Linked DNA regions of Kluyveromyces lactis. The protein of the gene in region 2 interacts with the protein of the main gene of each other region in a pairwise test. Links are inferred from orthologs where the notes say so. Each region holds a gene or a part of one and is shown on either strand. Other genes may lie near its edges.

Region 1 (7,204 bases), on a different chromosome or scaffold from region 2:
ACACCCTTCTCGACCTTTATTGTAACGTCATTACAAATTACCTCAAACCTTGGGCCTGACATAAATTTCCATTCTTTGCTCCGTAAGTTTTCGGAGATCTCTGTGATCTCGAGTAAAGAACTTGATTCATCACAATAAAACATAGGAATTTCAGAGTCATCAACCAGATTTCTGAACTGATCCGTAATCAAATTGCAAAAGTCATCAATTGACGATATTGCTTTTCCGCCAATGTTATCAACCTTAGATCTAACACTTTCGACACTATTACATGTCCATTCAACCCCAGGAATTACATCCGGTTTTAGTAAACCTTTGAATTGAGCCAGGTCTGAATCTATTAGCATTGTGCCGTGGTGATAAGCTTTTCCTTTAGCTATTTTGAAAGCACTACCACTTATCTTATAACCTTTATAGATCAAATCGCCTCTATCGTTCAACGTAATGTTCTCATTACTTAACCATTGTACAAGTTGCTGATTGAAGAACTCTCTGCGGAAACTTTCTCTCGACGTCAAATACGAATAGTTAACATTTCCTAAATCATGCACTACTGCACCTCCACCTGAACGTCTTCTTACAAAATTGTACCCTCTTGATGCGATATTTCTCATGTACGTTTCCTTCCATGGGTTTTGATTCTTACCGACAACGACACATTTATCATTGGTATAAAGCAGTATTCTTTCATTTCCCGTTTTGTTCTCAGTTAAAGGCGTATTACGAAACACATAGTCCTCTAAAGCTAGGTTGAAGTATGGGTTGGTAGATACACTTCTGATGACGAACCTTCCATTACTTTTTACCGCGTCTTCCAGCTCCGCTGGTGAAAGTACACCGACAGAATACAAGGAATTTAGCTCTTCATTTATTTCATCAACTTCAGAACGCTTGTTTGATTCAATATCTTTTGTAGTAAGAATGTTAGCTTTATCTGTTGGAGTGAAGAGCTCACGATAGATGTTGTTGAGCTCTTTGTATTTTTCATCTGTTTCATCCAGTTCAAATGGAATCTGATTATTTGCTGGAGTATATAGTCGTTTTGGAACGGATATACCACTTCTCAATAGCGTTGTCGCTACTCGATGCGTACATTTACTGATCATGGATGCTTCTCACCCATAGAGGTCCTCACAAATTGTTCAGCCCAACGAAATTTATATCTTCATCTTCACAACGTTGTGCATGGAAGTAAATCAAATATCGGAAGCTCATCGGGTAAAACTTGAAAAATTGAGATGAGATAAACTTGAAAGAAACATTCTGCCGAAGGGACAACAATCTTACCGGTTTTAAAGCTGGGTACAACCAGTATTCGGTAAGTGTTGCGTTTTAAAGCTGTTACTTCGCGAACGGATATACGGGCTTCCAAAATGGATCGTATTCAACCTTTTATAGAAGAGTGCTTATTCACTAAATGTTTTGATAATCCAAGGAAACCTATCAATGAGAATAGATTAACACAGACGTTGTTCTTGATGCCAACTGATGGAGGTCTGTCTACCAAGCTTAGAAAGAAGAGTAAGGCAAAACTTCTTCATTCAAGTAGTATGGGTGGATCTGCTGGGTTAAAACATCCAAATTACAAGGCAGTGAACAAGAATTCAAGAGTTTTGTTGAAGGAATATATAAACAAATGCAATAATGCATCCGCAAGTTGCAAAAAGTTAGCCAAGAGACTAAAAATTTCAGATAGAGACCAGCTACAAAGGGTCCTTGAAGAGAAACACAAAGATTTATTGGAGCAACTGCCGAATTTTGAAACTTTCTCCTCCATGTTCGAAGATATATGGTGTCCATACATGAAAGAATTGTTGAACATCCCAGATAATCACAAAGTTGGAAATCCATTACCTTTGAACTCTCAGCAAACTTTGATCAAGCTCTCTATGGCTGATTATAACGGGTGTAAGTTGAAGGTATCTAAATCCAAAAACAAGTCATTAACTGGGAAAAATGGTATTGTAATATGGGATGCTCAAAAGACATTCATAATCATAACGAAAGGCGGATTAGTCGATGAATTGAAAAGCATACCGAAGAAAGGAACAACTTTCGATTTCGAGATTCCAATCAATGAAGAAGAATCTTTAGCCTATACAATTCTTGGTGATAGATTTAAATATAGAAGTGTTGATAGAGCCGGTAGAAAATTTAAGAGTCGCCGTTGCGATGACCTATTATATTACATTAGTTAACGAAGTAAAATATATATGTAGCAGCCTTGCTACTTTATCTGTTCAATCAACTATCATTAGTTTTGGCTTCAAGGATAGTTCTTATCTTTTGTCTCGTCGTCGCATCGTCAAGTGAATCACTCAGAAGCTTCTCCACATCGATATTTGACGTGTTTAAACTCTTGAATCCGTCTTTAAATAATTGGCCCTCAAGAAGAGCAGTCGTGGTACCTCTGTTCTTGAAAATTAAAGACTCATCTTCATTTACCCTATCACGAACTAAATCCCTTACTCGGCTCTTTATGAATTCGTCCAAGCTAATATCACCCTCTACATTTTGAGATAGTATTTCATTCTTTAAACTGTCTAAATGACCCTCCTTCTTAAAAGTTTCCGCCAAATATTTGGCAGGATCTAAAGACTCTTCTTTCAAATCGTTACCATTACTATTCATGCCGTGTACTACCCTTAGGTGATTGTGAAACCATCAATACCAGACCAAGGTAGCAATTTCTTACACTGAATTGCAAAGAAAAGGTCTGCAAAATCGCCAAAATTTCCAGTTTTTTGGCCAAGACAAGATAGTTCAATAGTCAAACCTCCATTCAAGATGCACTTCAACAAAGAAGTGGCAGGAGCAATAGAGCTTCTTGTTATACGTTGAGCCCTGTGTATGACACCTGAAAGATATGAACTATTAACTTCCCATGAATATTCGAAACGGAAAAGAGCTAACATGGTTCACCTACGGTAATTTAGTGAATAAATCAGAGGATGAGTTAAAAGATGTGAATAAACGACTTACACGATGGATTGACCAACTAAGGTACTCGGATGCTAATGGATTGGACGACAATAAGAACCGTTTACTCGATGTCACAAGAGGTTTCTTACAAAGCTTTGACAATGAAATGCAGCATATGACTAACACTATTGAAAGTCCATTGACTATTGGGAGCTTGGCAAAACACATCCTAACAATAAAACTTCAACTAAGGAAAATACAGCCTCTTTTCTTACCTTTAGAGCGAGCACTACACAAACTCGGGTTAAATATACGACATTACTCACTTCTCGTACAATGGCTGGTCACCATTGTTGGATATAAATTATATTCTGAGTTGAACGATCTAATTAGAAGAGGGTTTGAAATTGAGGTTGAGACAAGATCCATATCGAATGACCAGTTTTATGAGGTTTGCAAGTTATTTTCAGACTTAGGATTTGATTCACATTATCATCATTTTTTGGATCCGATATCCCTACCTAAGAACAACGATGTTAATCCACGATTTATCTTATCTATTCTCGAGGGCTTGGTATTAACCTTCAAAACCCAATTGCAAGTACAGTCAGATATTAAGGACTTTGAAGCGGAAGCTTATACCTTCATGAATTATTTGCACAACGTGACTCTCCAAATATATCCCGAAGAAGTTTTTGCAGTGACTCGTGCCGGTTTTTTTGCTGTATTTGCTGACGTTGATTTCTACAAAGCTTCGATCTCACAGAAACTCGGTTCATCACAACCGCTCAATTCTCAGCGTATCAGCTATAATATATGTGGTTTACAAAGTGTTTTGACCGAAAAGGATATACTATCTGCTAACCTCGAAATTACTACGAAGTGGGTACAAGATTTGACTGAGGTTGGGCCTAATTACCACCGCCTCTTGATCCGAATGATGGATTTCATTCTTCAACAGCGCAAGCCTATAATGAGCCGCCAATACGCATTTGAATTGGACTCTAAAAATACTATTAAATTCATGAGACTGATGGTGAAACACATTCTTACTTATTTTCCAGGCACTACCAACATTGGAGATGTGTTGGGTAAAAAAGCATACAACATGACTGAAAAAGAAAGAAGATGGCTAACGAAAATAGGAGTATTCTTGAAGAACACTCGACAATTTCAACCATTTTCTGCTTCGTATTTTGAGCAATACGTTATAAAAGAAATCATTCGAGATAATCTAACCATAGATCTAGTCAAATCTATTTTAGTTGGCAAGAAACTAGAACTTGACGCTCCCCTCGCTCGCTTTTACATAGTAATGCAGCAGGATGCTGGGACACTAAATAATATTAACAGGATGTTCAGTCATTTGTCATTAAAGATAACGAGAAACAATAGGAAGAACGATATCATCTTACCAGCAAAAATATTTCCTAATATTTACTCAGAAAATTCGGCAAAACTTCCTTTTAATCTGCCAGGAAAATGGGTTAACAAACACGAACCACGGATTACAAGTGATGGTATTAATGTACACTTTTATGATCAACCGCATCTACATAGAGTCATCATGAAACCTACAATTTTTCAAAAAACCAACATATCCATAAACTTCAATTTATGTCATGCTGTCATTCTTGATACATTGTTCAATAAAAAACTAAGCTGGTCGCTAGATGAAATGATTAGTGCTCTTTCCGTTCGCAACCAAGCAATGTTCAGCCATTATTTATCATCCTTAGTCAAGCACGGACTCTTGATCAGGAAAGAAGATGGCATATTTGCACTTAATCTTGGATTCAAACCTAACAGTAAACTTCTGGTGAATAATATTTTCACAATACCATGAGCTCAGTATACCAAAACTTCTACTGTTACGTCATTGGCTGCTAGTTACGTAGCCAACACAATGTACTTCCTTTACCTGGCACGTGACTCGTATGTCTTTTTGATATAGTATTGGGCAAGTACGTAGGATCATATAACACTTAGTATTTCAATTGTTATGGGACAGTATGTATCGCATAAAGGTTCCACCCTCAACGTACAGTCAATGTGACATGCCGTTATTGGTTCCCGAACGAATCAAAAGCTCAAAAGTTCTGTACGATTCTCTGTTATCTGAGCTCGAACTGCTGCTTAGACAATATCAAATCCCAGGAGATGACCTTAAACACGATGAAAAGATATATTTCACTTTGCAAAAATTGATTAGATGTAAAGTACCGAGGCTTGCTAAGGCTTCCAGTAATTCAAGTCAATATGCTGCTGTCTTTAAGGACACGTTTGTTGAAGATCTCTGGTCACTTCTTAGCAAATTGATAAATGAACAGGTGGACGAGGAAGATTTCACGAATATAGAATGGTTAACAAACTTATGTGAGTTAGAAGATGCTTACAAAAAGATACAGGGCAAGGTGAACTCTTTGCAATATTACACCAAGGCTTTTCTCCGGAACCTTCCAAATAGTTTGGAAAATATCTCCTGCCGATCATTAGAAGGCTACGCAACGTTAGTCTTTTTCTCAAGAATAGCAAATCGATTGCACTCGCAACTACGACAAACTATCGAATCGTTTATAGTCGAAGCGTTAGAATCACGTACAACATCCCAGTTCAGTTTGGTCAAGAACATTATCAGGTACGATATTCCAATTGATAAATCGTCAGTGTTGGGGCTTTTTGAAGAAACCACTAATCGCATAATTAACTCCTTTACTTATAGTTCTGACCACTTCAAAAGAGTCGACAGTCTTCAAAAACAAATCATATACTACTGTTCCGAATATCAAATATTATGTCAAAATTTAAGCATCAATACTGTGGATATTCTTTTATTGAAGTTTAAATACTTCGAGGATTTCTTCGATAGATGTATGGATGATCAAATGACGATAATAACAATAATAGAAGAGCTAGGGGATATGATATATGCCTATTACCCGTGGCGAGGTGAGGAATATGATAACTTCGTAGTACGAGTTATATGTAAAATGCTTGACGAAGACTATTTGTCGTCCTTCATCTCCACCTATTCCATGTCAAGCGAATCTTTTGATTCTAATCGAAAGGCAATAATGAAGAATATGATTACATTGACTTTTAATGCAGACATAAAGAATATTGAAAAAGTTGACAGATGGTTGTGTAAGGTTTCTGAGGAAGGGCAATTTTCTGGGATTAAAGATCTGGTTAGATCATGCTGCATTTTTATGAACGACATCTTTCCGCCAGACTCAAAACAAGACGAGTTACTATGGAACATATATAAGAGAAAATATTTTCTACGGTCGGTACTAAAGTCATTGGGGGGTTCCGAGCAGCTGATTAAAACAAACGAGAGATTCGACCAACAGCTACTTTGCTGTGGGCTGTTGAAGTCAGTTCACATTCTTGAACTCCAGCAGCTAAACGACGAACTAATTGAATCATTGAGAATGAAGAGAGCTCCAAAGATAACTCCTGTCATTCTTAAACAATCTAACATCTCGGACTCGTTGGATTCATCCGAAATTTCAGGACTCATACTACCGGAACCATTAAATGGTATGGTGAATAAACAATGGGAGTACTACAAGGTTTTAGATAGGAATGATCACAAAACAATGTCACTCCAGTGTCAGCTAAATCTTCTGGAATTGAAAAGCCCCTTTAGACATGGAATTTCTTCTGAAATAGTGATACTTCACGTTAACCTACTTCAAGCATCAATATTTCACTTATTTAATAACAGTGCTCGTCTTTCACTTGAACAAATAAAAAACACTTTGACAGAAACAAAGCACAATATACCTCAGATTGACAGCAATATGGAAATGTTTTTACAAATGAACATGTTTAAAAAGGATTCTGAGGACTGTTTTTATCTGAATACTAAATACAAACCCAAAAAGGAAGCTCTTAATGATGGTAAATTGACACTGTACCATCTTCCTAAAATATCGCCAAAAATTATGGAAAACGATAAGGCAGATAATAGATGGTTCACTGAAATTGTCTGTGCATGCATTATCAGGACGTTGAAACAAAGAAGAAAGTGTACAAAGACAAAACTTTTTGAATATGTCGCTTCTGCTTTCCCGGGTATCAGCCGCGGAGAATTCAAAGACGCGCTTGGGAGATGCGGCGAATACTATACATCGGAAAATGGTAACGTACAATACTTATTATAGAATTTACCTTAGTTTTGATATTTAAATGATTTCTTTTTATTAGTACATTTACTCAGGTTCAAATGCTTGATCCGCCACATCGAACAAGAGCTCCATCGCACTTATTTGGTAGT
Region 2 (6,974 bases):
TTTGTAATATCGTTACATCCAAAGATAAGGGACACCATGTTTAATTTGATGTATTCAGAGGAGACACGGTTAAGGATACTTACCAAGATGAACCACATAGAGCGTATTATAAACGATAAATTTGATTCTTATGAACCCAGAGAAAGAAGAGAAGCTTCGATATTCGAGCTTCAGAGGTTCAATGCGGAGGAAAAAAGTTGGGAATTGGTTGGTTATTCTACAGATGAATACGCATTGTTTTCTGAGAGTAGGATGAAAGAGCTATCGACCAGTCAAATACCTAACGTTCAGACATTGGCAGAAGTAAAGCCTCCTGCAGAATGGGATTGGCTACTTAATGTAGATTGGACTTTAGACCTTCATCCTACGGAATGGGTATCTGCAGGTTTCATACAGTACGTTGATGTTGACAATGAAACAAAATGGGTATATGATGTGGAGCTGAATGGTGAAAGGGGCCAATACAGGAGACGAAGATGGGTGAAAGCTTGCATCAGACAGAAACATTTTACAGCTGCAGTGAAGAATGGTGGAAACAGCACCACAAAAAGTAATGAAGTTAACGAAACCGATGATGAAATGGAATCAGTAGATCGAAATTTATACAATGGCTATGCTTCGATTACACAAACATCATTCTCTGGTGCCGATAAAAACGCTACAAAGACTAATGATGCAAATAATGATAACGGCATAGTTAAGTCCCCTTCGACTGCATCCATATCCAGCTTTATCAGTCAGGGAAGCACAAACTCCGTAGCTCAACAAACAAATTCTGCTGAAAAATCGAAAGCTGTGAGGAGCTTAACTGATCTCCTTAGTTTGACAGGCTGATAACAATTACGAACTCTCTTATGAGATTATTTTTCTTTGATCGTTGTATATCGACAGAAAAACCGTCTTCCTAGCTCTAATTTTTACAACTAACATTTTAAGTGTAGACTCTCTTTTCTGTTTATAGTTATTTCATGAAATCCATAAGACTTAATGATACATTTTTCTTCTTTGATTCCTCTTTCTCCTTCTTACTTGCCAATAAGTTGGATAACGTTGACTGTTTCCTTTTCTTAGCTCTCTCCTTCGCAGTGGTATTTTTCTTGATCTTATCATCATTGACTTCGGGAGACGATTGTCTCGGCCATTGGATATCGACTTTGGGAGATGGCTCCTTACTGGAAGCATCTTTTTTGGGCTCCGTTTTATCTACCTCGATGTTATATTCGCTCTGGCAATGGCCACATTGATATCTCAAATTCCGAGTTACTACCCCGTTCTCGTCAGTTTCTCTCAGCAATTTCATTGTAAGGTTATATCCGGCTATCCTTACACACCCACAGTTCCCACAGAACTTGACATTATCAGCACGGATGCTCTCGGGTAACGGCAGTCTATATCTCTTTGCTGTATTGTAGAAATTCTTCAAGTATAATCCGGACAATTGTGGTTCTCCCAATCGCTGCACATGATGTATCATATTGTATTTATGGGCCATGGTCCGATCCATGAATTTTTCCCTATCCCTTCTGCCACTCATTTCAATAGTTTAAATGCCACCCTGAAGTGTCGCTGAACGCTTGCCCTCTTATTTAATATGTCCTTTATCCGCATCTTGTACATGCGATGAGATGAGATCATCTTTCGTAATTTTTCACTTTAATTCTGATTACTTAAAGGGAAGTGAAACTGGCACAAGCTGAGGCAAAGCTGTTCACCTTGCTCGTGATGTATTATTCGTTACTTGATAGGGTTATTTATACACTCTATGCTAAGGGGGTATTTGGAGAGTTTTTATCTAGTACTCTATGATTTTAGATTGAATATAAAAAAGCTTATCGTAACTATACTATTTTGTTTCGTTTCATTTCATATCGGTCAGGTAATGCGAATATAAGAAAGGGTCTCGTATCCTGCTGACATTAGGATACAGAGCTTGTAGTTCTTGGTGACATGCTAAACATTTCTTCTGGAGAAGGTAGCATACATAGCGATTTTGTCTTCTTGAGTTTGGGTATCGATTTTTCGTTGGGTAAAGTTGCCGTCTTTCTTTTCTTCGGACTATTCGGAGGAGTAGTTGGTGATTGAGAAGACTGTGAAAGCAGTTGTTTTTCTTCCCTTTGCCTTTTCCTTAACTCACTAGCCTCTCTTTTCATTTGTCTAACCTTTTCTAGTTGTTGCTGCGATAGGAAAAAGTCGCTCATATGTTTCTTTAATTCCGTGACCCATTCGTCGCAATCAGATTCTATTTGGTAGTCTATAATCCCATGCCAGTTACAATCACCTATGCTTGTCTTATTAATTAGTATTACTAAACCACCACGATCATGAACTTGTTTGCTAATTGTTTTCACCAATCTTTTGACACCATCAACTTTTAAACTTGTTCCCATGATCAAAAACAAATCAGGTTTCCCTCTGTTGATATCCATGTTCAATCCCTGTGTAATAAAATCTGCGTTTGGGTGGTTCTCGCCGTAAAGAACTATGTTAGGACGTAGCATACCCGAATGACCCAAACATCTTTTACCCTCGATAGATCTTCTGTTATTCTTTTCGAGACACTTTGGACACACTGGAAGTTCTCCGTTCTTCAAACAACGTTTCCAATGCCTTGACCATGAGAAGACTTTGAAACACTGTGTGCATGAGAGTGTTGTCAAATCTCCATGTAATTGTACAACATCCAAATTTTTCCATTGGATGGAGAATGATTGATCTGCATCCCTAGATTTTGACATCTGTAATCCTAACATTTCTTCTAACCCATCAATATTTTGTGTGTAACAACGTAAAAGTTTGCCCCTGTTCTTTAAATGTGCTATAAATTCGTGCGTCTTTGTTGGTTTGGCTTGAATTGTGTGTGAATATAGATTCTCCATGAATGAAGCAAAAACACTGATTTTCTCTTCTTCTCGAAATAGCGATATATCAAACATATCCTGTCCTGACCTGATATTCACATCAGGGTATTGTTCTTTAACCATCCTATAAAGACCTTCAAATGACCTAAAATCTGGTATTCCCGCATTACAGGATATTCCAGCTCCTGTAAGTACAGCACATTTCCTAGATCTATGTATCACACGGTTAATTTGTGAAATCAACTCGCTATTTTCATTGGTCTCTCGATACTCTGATAAAGACAAATGCTTTACTCTTTCCGTTTGGATCATGGACCCCAGTGTGACTTTCCTTGAACTTTGACTACAACATCCTTCAGATTCCTGAGAAGATGAAACTCCAGCATCATTCTCTTCCATTTTCAGATTCTTGCTCGGACTGAGCACTATAGCAGACATGTCGAATGATATATTCTGGATAGATAGATAACCGTTAGTTTCACTCCTGGGTTAAAACCGATTAGAATCAAAAAATATAACCAGTTTTCTGTTCTTCTCCTGACACTTAGTTCGAAATGTAAAGAATATTTCTTGAGACCGGTGCCAGCTGATTTATAGGTGTCGCTGGTCGTCTGCACACCGAGTCTTTGTCGGTTACGAGAAACCTCCCAGTGTCTAGTTTGTCTTTGGCAAGAATGTCAAAGTTATAAATCGTTGAAAACCTTAAAAAAGCTTTAAAGTGACAGAGATGTTTAGTTTACAAATTTCCAAATCAGGAAAGAGACCAATATTGATGGAGATGAGGAACAATAGCTGAGAGCTAGGAAATGTTGGCAAGGCTGTGATAGTCGTTTCAAAGGGCCCTTGTTGATTTGTTTTTTGCACGATGATATATTATATTCGTATGTTATACAGAGATATATATGGGTGTATTTAAAGATTGGTCATTTGTAAAGGTAAAATAATGATATAAAAGAAGATAATATTTTTATTATTAAGTTTAACAAACTGACCAAGTTTATTCTTCGTCTTCCAAAGTGGCAGCGGCGATACGGTCCAAATCTCTCAAACCGTTGTCAGAGATTCTTCTACCACCCTTTGGAGAGATTTCGACGACACCCAACTTTTCCAAGGATTGCAAAACCTTTCTGTTGATGGAACCGGAAGCGTCGACGTGCTTGTGTGGTCTGACACCTCTGTTCTTGGCACCACCGTACAACTTGTTCAACTTACCGACACCGACTTGCTTTCTCAAGTAGATGTGTCTGGCGACAGAGGCAGCTCTCTTGTAGAACCAACCTTCGGAGTCTTGTGGTGGCAATTCATTACCAGCGGAAGTCTTGACGATGTCAACGTAACCTGGAACTTCCAACTTACCTTGTCTTTGCAAGAAAGAAGCGTAGTTGTTGATGAAATCTTGAGCTGGAACGTCTCTATAAGTAAATATTCATGCGAATGAATTGTTAGTAAAAATGGTTCAAAAAACGGTTTAAATTCGGGGATAGATATTGATTTCAACGTTGGTCTGTCATCAGGGAACAGCTGTAGTTTTAAGTAATAGTTTTTTCGTCATTTTCTGCAGTACTTGGGTCACATTGGGAATTGGTAGTATCGTCTCAGAATTTGTGATGTCATGACATATCTCGCTCTAACTGTGAACATCCCACATCAAATAGTTTTCCATGAAAACTATGCCCAATGCTAATCTAGTATTTCTGATTACTGTACAATATTCTGCCTCTTTATATTCTTACGCAACATTATTCGTTTCGTTAATTGGTCGATGCCTCTCAGTACTCAATATTCCTCAGTTAAATTGTAAATACATTCTTTCCACGTCTTGTCATATCGGGTACATCTAGTACAAGTTTCTATATCCTATGTCGTTTTCATGGTTTGCTCTTATTGCATCGTCCCATCCGTATTCAAATCTCTAATCTCCCGTTGTAATTCATGTATAATTCGTTCACGTACCTAACGGAAACACCTGGCATTTTGTTCTTGACTTCTGGATATCGTTACTCGAAACAACTAACCAAAGCTAAACACTAAAAGATCTAATCTTTAACTATGAATAAGCCTTATTTACACTATATCAATCGTTAACTAATTCAATAACTTATTCACCAGTATCAAATATCACAATAGCATTTGGAAATTTTTGGTGAAGCTGGCAGCCAGGACGGCCACTGAGACTGAGCCAGACAGGGCCGGGGAGAGGAACTGGCACTGGACTGCCATGAATGGAGTTCAGGCTAGGAAGAGGAGAAGCTAGGCTCAGTGGATGGAAGGATAGGCGGGAAGGATAGGCGGACGGTTGCCCTACGCCAGGTGTGGCATCAGTCCTGAGACGTTCTTCCCCAGGGAGGAACCTTTCGGTCCCTGGGGATGACCAGTCGGTAATGGAGAAAGAGACAGAGATGATAATTTCCTATTTAGGTATACAATAGTATTTTCAAGAATTACATGCGTCTATAATATACGGTGTATGGGTGTTGAAACTGGAAAAGAACAGAGCAGTCCTGTACGTTCTCACACAGATCAGAAACTGACGATACCTTCACCTCTGATATACCGATGAAGACTTGCACAATCAGGTGATCATGCTCAGCGTAAGTAATTAATCGTATGAATTTTATTCTATTATACACACGGGAACCTTCCCCGGACATAAACACTTGAAGATAATATTAACTAGTAGTAGCAACGTTGCAAAAAAAGGTAATGGCCATCTTGTATTATAACAATCTTTTTATTATGGAATAATAAGCTAGCTATAGAATACGAAATAGAGCCTTTGCCTCGAAAGCAAGAGGATGCAAGATGCGAGTAAACAGAAAGGAAAAATTAATATGAAATCATATTTCCGGATTTGCTTACACCTTGAAGGCTCTAGATCTACGTCTACCTCTAGCTCTTTCGAACTTTCTACCGGTAGATTGGATTCTTGGAGCCTTACCCTTGTGAGGACCGAAACCGAAGTGTCTAGCAGCTTCTCTGGAAGCTCTTGGACCTCTGACGATCAAGGTGTTTTGACCCTTTGGAGCTCTAACAGCCAATTGATCCAAAGTGATGGCTTCACCACCAGCCTTCAAGATCTTAGCCTTGGCACCAGCAGTGAATCTCAAAGCAGCAACGGTGGTCTTTGGGAATTCAAAGATTCTGTTGTCATCGGTAACAGTACCAACAACGACAATGGTCTTTTGAGCAGCACCTTCTTGCTTCAAGGCTCTAGAGATTCTGGAAACAGAAACTGGTGGTCTGTTGATCTTGGACAAGAACAAAGACTTCAAGATAACCTTGTTGAATGGAGCATCAGTACGACCTTAATTGAATTTACAGTTGTAAATTTTGTTAGTAAAACTGGAACCGAATAGGGCGAGATTCTACAGATCCGGGAATGACAAAAGTGTAATTCCCGGACTCCGTATTGAAGGAAAATTGTTTAAAAAAAGATCCTGCTCACTTGTTTCCTAAGTACAGAAAGGACACATTGGTATCCCATCTCGGTACGTTGGAATGAAACGCATTGATCTCAGTGGGTAAAAAAGTATCTATCTCTTTCAATAGATCTAATTCCCACTGACCCAATACTCGCAGAACCACGACATCATGGTCTTCTGATGTCAAGGTGCATCGACGCTATGCACTTAGCGGACGCTACCTCTTTTCGATTTCCCTGTTTGATTTTGTTTTCATTCGAAAACAGATAGTTAAAATTTCGACCATATCAACGTAGTTGGTATGATCGTAGTGAGTATGAACCCTTCTTCTCTTTTTCCCTTCGTATTCCATCGTTGGAAATGTAATTATCTGACATACGAGCCAAGAAAGCGTATAGCTTGACCAACAACTTCAAGTAGACGTTGTCGGACTTTGGAGCAGTTCTGTGACTGGATCTCTTGTGTTGCTTGGAAGTGTGATCAATACCCATTTTGAGACTTGCTTATTGTGTGTGTTCTTTCAAGAATTAATCGAGATAATAGTACATTAGAACATATGCTTAATGGTATGATTAACTGTATTGAAAGATGGTTTCTTCATATATGCACTACTCGTAACGATGTGAAATTTGTCGATGTCAGTGAGTTGATGAGTTTTGAAAACTTTATTCCTATTTAGGTAATATATTGTTGG
Region 3 (7,183 bases), on a different chromosome or scaffold from region 2:
CTACCAGAACTAGACGTCACTGGCAGATTGAATTTAGAAAGAACACTGAAAAATACCATTTATATGGGATGTATAGTGAATGGAAGTAACTCATCTTCAATGAGACAGGACGTCCTACATTTAAGAGAAACAGAAATTGATTTTATTAACGGCTACATCGTGACGTTGTGCAAAAAATTCTCACTACCAGAATCTGACGCTAAAGTCAACAAAACCATACAGCAACTTGTGAAATTGAGATTGAAATTGAACACGTCGAGAAATATATAGACATTAAGAAAATGTGTATCATATATATCATATAGTGTAAAAATAAACCTTCATGAGCTGATCACTTTCCCTTTCTTGCGCTCTCAGTATTTTGACATCTTTATTTGACAATAAATTCTTTTTCTTTTTTACATTTATTACCCCGGACAGTTACCATTTGGAGTGTAAATTTCAATTGAAAAACCCACTTTAACAGCAGCAAAATAAGGTACGACATTATTTTGCGACTTTCACTTGCAATATATTAGGTTTATATACCTGAACATGTATGTTTATATATTTAAGATTATCCAAAAATTGCCGCAAAGATCATCCATATCTCGAGAATCTCGTAAACGATACAAAAGTCCGCTCATCATATTGATAACCATTGCTCGCACATCAAAAGAAATCAAATTCAACTTTAACACATTCAGTATTCCGCCATCTTTTCCTTACAGTAATTTTTTTTTTTGGCAGCATTTTCTGAGTTTTTTTTCTACTTGATTATTATTGATTGTTTTTTTCCATTTGCACTAAGGTGAAAACGACGAAAATTGGAAAAGTGAAAGAAAAAAAAAAGCGAAATTGAAATTCAATAAATAGTTAAACATCGTTATTGTCGAGAAACAGAACGACAGTGGTGCTTTACAGGGTACTAGTGACTATTTAACGGGTGTAGATCGGATTGAATCTGTTGTTATAGGTTTTGAGTCAGAACAGACGAAACCTGCTTGCTGAATCAGAGACAGTATGGATTCTGATACTGCGATGACAGGCCATGACGATAATAATGGTGAAATTGGAATTGGTGAGAATGGTGTTTCCAGACAAGAGAAGGATAGTTCTGTAGTAGATAAAAAGGACAAGAATGGTATTTCTAGTGTGCAAGCGGGTTTAGAAAGTCAACGAGGTACAATTCGAGAGCTTGAGAAAAAAGTTTCTGAAATTGAGTCTATTTTACCTGAAACTGACGAAATAATTCAAAAGAGTATTGAGTCAGTTGTGGTGACTTTGAAGAACTTATCGCATAACCAGCAAGTTTTGGAAACGAAATTCGAGGACCTTTTAAAGAACCAGGTGAATTCAGATGCGGCCATAAACGATCTATCCGTGGAGATCATCAAGATCAACAGGTTGTTATCCGATAGGTTAACGATGTCCGCGACATCAGGTGCATCGTCAGGGACGATGGGAACTGCTGCGTATGGATCACCCGCATATATGTCATCTGCAAGCGTCTCTCCTCCTCATAGGGGACCTGGTAGACCACCTAAGAAGAACACTTCGATATTGTCCAATGGCGATAAAAAGGCGAAATTGCCATTCCCAAGCGATCATATATCAAAATCAAAACGTCTTTTCCTGGACCCAAGTAAAGAAAAGACGGAGTCCAACTCAGGTTATGATGCAGATGGGGTTGGCAACAGTCGATCTCGTAGTTCTGCTAACGTCAAGCAAGAGACTCCTCAGGAACCAAAGAAACGTAGAGGTAGACCTTCAAAGAAAAGCACATGGGAAGCTCAACTCACTTCTTCACAAAGAAAGACAAATGCTGCAGATAATGATACCAAGGAAAGGCAAAGCTCTAGCTCTAGACGCAAATCTCAAAGATTGAAAAGTGGTTCGCGCCAATATGATGAACAATCGGATCTTTCATCATCGTTTTCCGGTATGTCTGATAATGAAGGGCAAGATGATGAGGGCGATGTCACAGACGATCAGAAACAGTTGGCTAATGATATGCATGACTCTCGTTCCAGAAAACAGAAGGAGCTCGAAATGAAAAGAGATGAAAGAGAAAGGATGCTAGTCACCATGAAATATAGCGATCGTAACGTTACCAGGAATTTCATGGAACTCAACAAAGATCTTTTCATGGCCATGAAACAAGAAGAACGGAAGAAAAGAATGACAGCGGTGCCTTTCAGCGTTCCAGTACCGTTGGGTAAATATCAACTTTCAAGTAAACATTTGGAAGAGTTATCAAAAGTACCTTTCTCCCTGTCGCAAACAGCGGAGAATTCTTCTGGTGCTCAATCACCTTCGTCTAATCCTCCAGACTCTGCTCGCTCTGTGACACCACAAACAATTATATCAGCATATAACAATTTGGAACAACCAGGCAATGTAGGCTCAGTTTCTACGGCAAGTGCGGATGATGTTAACGGTCAAAAATCGTCGTTACTGAATTCTGAGCACAAGGATCTGAACGGCTCTGTGAAAAGAACATCTTCGGACATCGGTGATCGATCTCAAATGTCCAACGAAGCAGAGGGACCACGTAAGGTCAGAATCTTGTCTATCTTGAATGATGATGCATCTACTGGTGTAAAAACAGAAGAGAATGGCTCGGCTAGACCTCATCTGTTAGACATGCCAAATTCGACTCCTCAAGGATCTGCAGACGCATTACCAAGTTCTCAATTATCTGTTGATTCGACAGAAAACTCGCAGGATAACTTTTCCGTCACCACTTTACAATCTGGTGGTGAATCACCAAATAAGAAAAGGCATCTAACATTGCATGATCGTCGAAAGATGAGCAGGATGATTCCGATGTTACCAGAAAAGAAAGATAAAAGGGGAAGACCAAGCTCTAACAATCAATCCCAAGAAAATGCAGCGTCTTTGTTAATGTCATCCCCTGTGGAACTTTACTGCCGTGAAGGTTTTTTTTATAGAAAAGGTTCTACAATTCCAATCACAGCGGGAGAGTATTTGGATTTGAAGTTCAGACACAAAGAAGACGAATTGATTAAATTAACAATGCATGAAGAAGATTACGCCGAGTTAACAAGACAGGATAGAATCAACGCGTATTTCCTTAAACCAGACGTTGAGATTGAAACCTCAATGGCTTGTCAAGTTTTGTCCAATGTCATATTAACCGAGAGATACGTCAATTCATTAGAATATTTCCTGATGGAATTCCGTTGGGAGAATAGATTGGTAAGTTTAGGTCTAAAGCTAAGAGAATCTAAGAGAACTTGGCAAAGACGGAAAGCCTTATTTGCATTATTTGAGTTTTGGAGAGACAAGTCGAAAGATAAGAGAGGTTTCCACAATTATACATTGTTGCATGCAATCAAAGAAATGGAAAATTACAGAGTCTTCATCAATAGGTCGGTTTCATGGTTTTACAACCACATTACCCTTTTAAAAATGATTCTTTTTGATTTATGTGATAATACGAATACTCATTGGAGAGAATGGATGTTCGCCAGAGGCACTGAACTACCGCTTGTTGGTAAAAATGGCGTCGATGTCATGAATATTAATAGAGAAATCGATAATATTTTGGTTCTTGATTTCCTAGAAGATGGTAGCAAAAATTCAAACAAGAAATCAAGTTCTATTCCATACAAAGAAAACAGTGAAGGCCCTCTAGAACAGCCTTATGTTACGAATGATGTTCCCGCAGACAAGGGAACAAAGGAATTACACACTGAGCATGTCCAACAACAGTCAGAAACCCCAGTTCCGGAACTGGCTGGAAATAGAACTGAAGAAAATACAAACCATGCTACTGGGGCGGTAGCTGTAAATCAAGATCAGCACTTACCTTCTTTACCGAAAGATTCAGAAGATGTGAACTCTACGCAATGATATTTATGCACATAGATCATAATGGTTCCTTTTTGGGCGCTGTTTTTCATCAAACCTATTTTAACGGACATTTTATCACTTTATGGAACAAATAGTAAGGTATGTACTCTATAAATAAACTGACAATTATTCTATTTAGATAATATTGTTCTCATACTCAAAAACATTGTGACATGGCCGATTGGATGAAGTTTAAAGTTGTATTTTTCAACAGTTGGGCTTTCAAGTAAGGATTGTACTTCATAGTATGTTATAATATCTTCAAGTATAATTTTTTCGGAAAAGACATTACAATAATCTACCAAAAAAAAAATCTAGTAAATAATGAAACATGAGCATGAGATGAGGTATGCTGGACACTCAAATGGAAACAAAAGTTTCTGTTGAATCACTTGTAAATACTCCTTCCAAATTTGCAAAGCAAAATAGCTATTTGAAAGGATGTTAGTTGATTTAAACGTTCCTTGGCCACAGAAGGATTTTGCAACACCGCCTTCCACGAAGGAGATTAAAACGCTGCACAAGACTCTAGCGACATTGCATACACTAGGGTACACTCACATAGCTTTAAATTTCACAGTAAACCAACAGGATAAATTCCCAAAATCAATCAATGATATGAATCCTATCGATCTATCGCATTTTGATGAACTAGTGAAATCTACGGGATTAAAGCTATATACAAGAATCACAATTATTATAGATGACCTTTCAAAAGGCCAGCCGTTGACAAAGATATCGCAAGCTTTCGATATTGTGGCAGCCCTTCCAGTCAGTGAAAAGGCTGTTACTCTCGTAACGTCTAGCTTGGATGTTGATGTGCTATCATTTTACTACGACAAAAGGCTTCCTACACTTTTGAAACATCACATGATGGGGGGTTGCATTAAGAGAGGAGTCAAAGTAGAAATTGTTTATGCTAACGCTCTTCGAGATATCAGAACACGTAGGCAGTTCGTATCTAACGTGAAGAGTGTGATCAGAACTTGCAGGAACAGAGGAATCGTGGTCAGTAGTGGAGCAACCAGCCCACTAGAATGTCGTAATGTCATTGGAGTTACAAGCATTTTGAACTTTATTGGGCTTCCGAATGACAAATCTCGTAAATCCATGGGCGAGCTTGCTAGTTTGGTACTTCTAAATGGTAGATTAAGAAATAAGAGCTATAAGCAAGTCATTTGTATTGGTAACGAAGATGTAGTCAATGAAGATTTTACACAGAATTCATCGTTCAAAATAGTCAAAAGGAAAAACCCAGATACACTGGAAAGTGATGACTCGAAAAGAACAAAAAGCTGAATTACCATGAACTTAATTTTCATACTGCACTTCTACTGTTGAATCTCTCGAAGCATTCAATAGTACCGATAATACGATATATAATAGATTTTATATTTATATAAGGAAAATAGTACAATAAGCATTAAGCAAAAGATGGATACAAGGTAAATTTAGGAAATTATGGGTAAGAGTAATGATATCGGTGATTTCAATCCACTTTGAGTTCATCTTTAACATGTCCAATTTTACGTTTAGTTTCCAAAGTCAAACTTACTATCAAGTTCTAAACCCAAAGTTATTTTTCATTCTAATATCTGTAAAAAGAGCAGGTTACTGTTACCCGCAACACATACATGGTGTAAATCCGATCAAAAGCTCAGCGGCTATTGAAAAGAGTATAAAAGTATCCAGCTTGGAGACTTTACGATTTTCTTCTTCGAATCATAAACCGCCTTACATAGAAACGGTCTATTATATAAAAAACACAGACAGTACGTAAGGCAGTAACTTGGGAAAACAAGTGCCACACAAAGTTAAAATGGGCGAGGTGAAGAGTTACTTACGAAAATGGAGACGCTCTTCCATTCTTAAAAGAAGCAGTTTGAAGGATAAACGGAAAGAAAATTGGGAACAACGTATAGAGAAGTCCTTGAGCGAATGCGATGACATTAAAAACTTATTGGCTGGTCGTCCAACGACACCTGATATTGCAAGAACGAATAATAGTACATTCCTTTCCAAGCGCTCTAGGGCTTTTGTTACAGAACCGTTATCGAACCAAGAATTGGATAAAATCAAATATATGAATTTTGCAATGGAGAGAGATTATAGAGCAGGTACTAGGCCAGTGATACCGAGAATGGATTCAACCAACAGACGAAAATTGAGCGTAAATCTCACCCCGACATCGATTTCAGCAGATGACTCCGAGAATAATGCGATAGTGAAAGACTTTTCTGAGTTCATTGAAATTTCTTTCAATAGTTTGAGCATTTCCGATGAATACACACCCCAACCAAGCTTTTCCAAAGAGTCCGAGGAACCTAGAACCGCCAGTTCTAAGAGTCTAGAAAGTCTATGGAGTAAAAATGTGAAATAGTCGTAATTGGTAACCATGTTGGGTCAACTAATGACTTATCTAACCCACGAAAAAAAGCCGTAGAAACTTGAGAAAAAATAACGGCCGCCAAAAGAAAAAAAGAAGACATGAAACCCAAGAAAAAAGAAAAAACCGGATTGGCGATGGTGAATTAGAGAGGTTAGAAAACATTAATTTTCGATCAACGAAACGTATCTGCATTCCTGAAGAGGGTGCGAAAATGAAAAATCGTGTTTTTACCTAATATAGGAATTCCTAAATTAACTGAATCCAGTAGTAGTTAACCATAGATGCGAAAAATGTCAGAAAATTGTGAAACCTAGGAATGCATGAAACATTACCACTGTGGACGCGGCCGATATATGTATATATAAACGGATAAACATGATCCAGGGTACAAAGGCCATGATTTGAATCATCAGAAACCAGGCATTGCCGAATAAAACAACCAACAGATCTGGGCCAATACTTATGATGAACGTACCTCAGATCAAGTCGATCTGGCTCGATGAAGACGATGAAACAGAAAAATTATATGGTTTACAAGCTCACCAGCTTCTGGATTCTGACGATGATGATGAATTGGGCGTTGTAATGATCAATAGTGATAAACCTGTCTTAAGTAATAGGAAAAACATTAATCTTCCTCCATTGCCGCCAAATGCGTATGATAAACAATCTGGAAAGAAATCTTTCAAGAAGAAGAAGAACAGCCTCTTAAAACTGTTTCAAAATAAATCAAGTAAAGAAGAACCTCCTAAGTTAAAAATTTCTGTCCCATTTGGATTTAATCACATCTCACATGCAGATTCTAAGGCAGGATTTGAAATGCCTACTGCAGATTCACCACCACCATCTAACAGTCACTTACAGGATATACCGGAAAATACCAAATTTCCGACAAACTCAACAATCAATTCCCCAACGCAAATGACTAAAGCTTTC

The links.
Region 1: the proteins of SNM1 (region 2) and POP4 interact in binary tests that used the Saccharomyces cerevisiae proteins (3 or more experiments, as listed by UniProt). The link is inferred for Kluyveromyces lactis from reciprocal best matches to the Saccharomyces cerevisiae genes SNM1 and POP4.
Region 3: the proteins of SNM1 (region 2) and RPP1 interact in binary tests that used the Saccharomyces cerevisiae proteins (3 or more experiments, as listed by UniProt). The link is inferred for Kluyveromyces lactis from reciprocal best matches to the Saccharomyces cerevisiae genes SNM1 and RPP1.

The regions. Positions count from the first base shown.
Region 1 is NC_006042.1:193,126-200,329, reverse strand, and holds POP4 (RNase P/RNase MRP complex subunit), read left to right. Parts: upstream 1-1,373; coding exon 1,374-2,198; downstream 2,199-7,204. Other genes in the region: AIM22 (putative lipoate--protein ligase), read right to left, coding at 1-1,106; SHG1 (Shg1p), read right to left, coding at 2,245-2,631; KLLA0_F02167g (uncharacterized protein), read left to right, coding at 2,885-4,768; cullin RTT101, read left to right, coding at 4,935-7,091; GTPase-activating protein RGD1, read right to left, coding at 7,140-7,204. UniProt on the Saccharomyces cerevisiae protein: Required for 5.8S rRNA and tRNA processing; associated with RNase MRP and RNase P.
Region 2 is NC_006037.1:642,718-649,691, forward strand, and holds SNM1 (Snm1p), read right to left. Parts: upstream 1,535-6,974; coding exon 962-1,534; downstream 1-961. Other genes in the region: PEX29 (Pex29p), read left to right, coding at 1-834; NAD-dependent histone deacetylase HST3, read right to left, coding at 1,917-3,296; KLLA0_A07194g (40S ribosomal protein eS19), read right to left, coding at 3,856-4,270, 4,812-4,831; KLLA0_A07227g (60S ribosomal protein eL18), read right to left, coding at 5,714-6,162, 6,660-6,771.
Region 3 is NC_006039.1:1,283,149-1,290,331, forward strand, and holds RPP1 (RNA-binding RNA processing protein RPP1), read left to right. Parts: upstream 1-4,299; coding exon 4,300-5,157; downstream 5,158-7,183. Other genes in the region: 2-dehydropantoate 2-reductase PAN5, read left to right, coding at 1-270; SUM1 (Sum1p), read left to right, coding at 1,003-3,858; KLLA0_C14740g (uncharacterized protein), read left to right, coding at 5,678-6,238; GIC2 (Gic2p), read left to right, coding at 6,710-7,183. UniProt on the Saccharomyces cerevisiae protein: Component of ribonuclease P, a protein complex that generates mature tRNA molecules by cleaving their 5'-ends. Also a component of RNase MRP, which cleaves pre-rRNA sequences.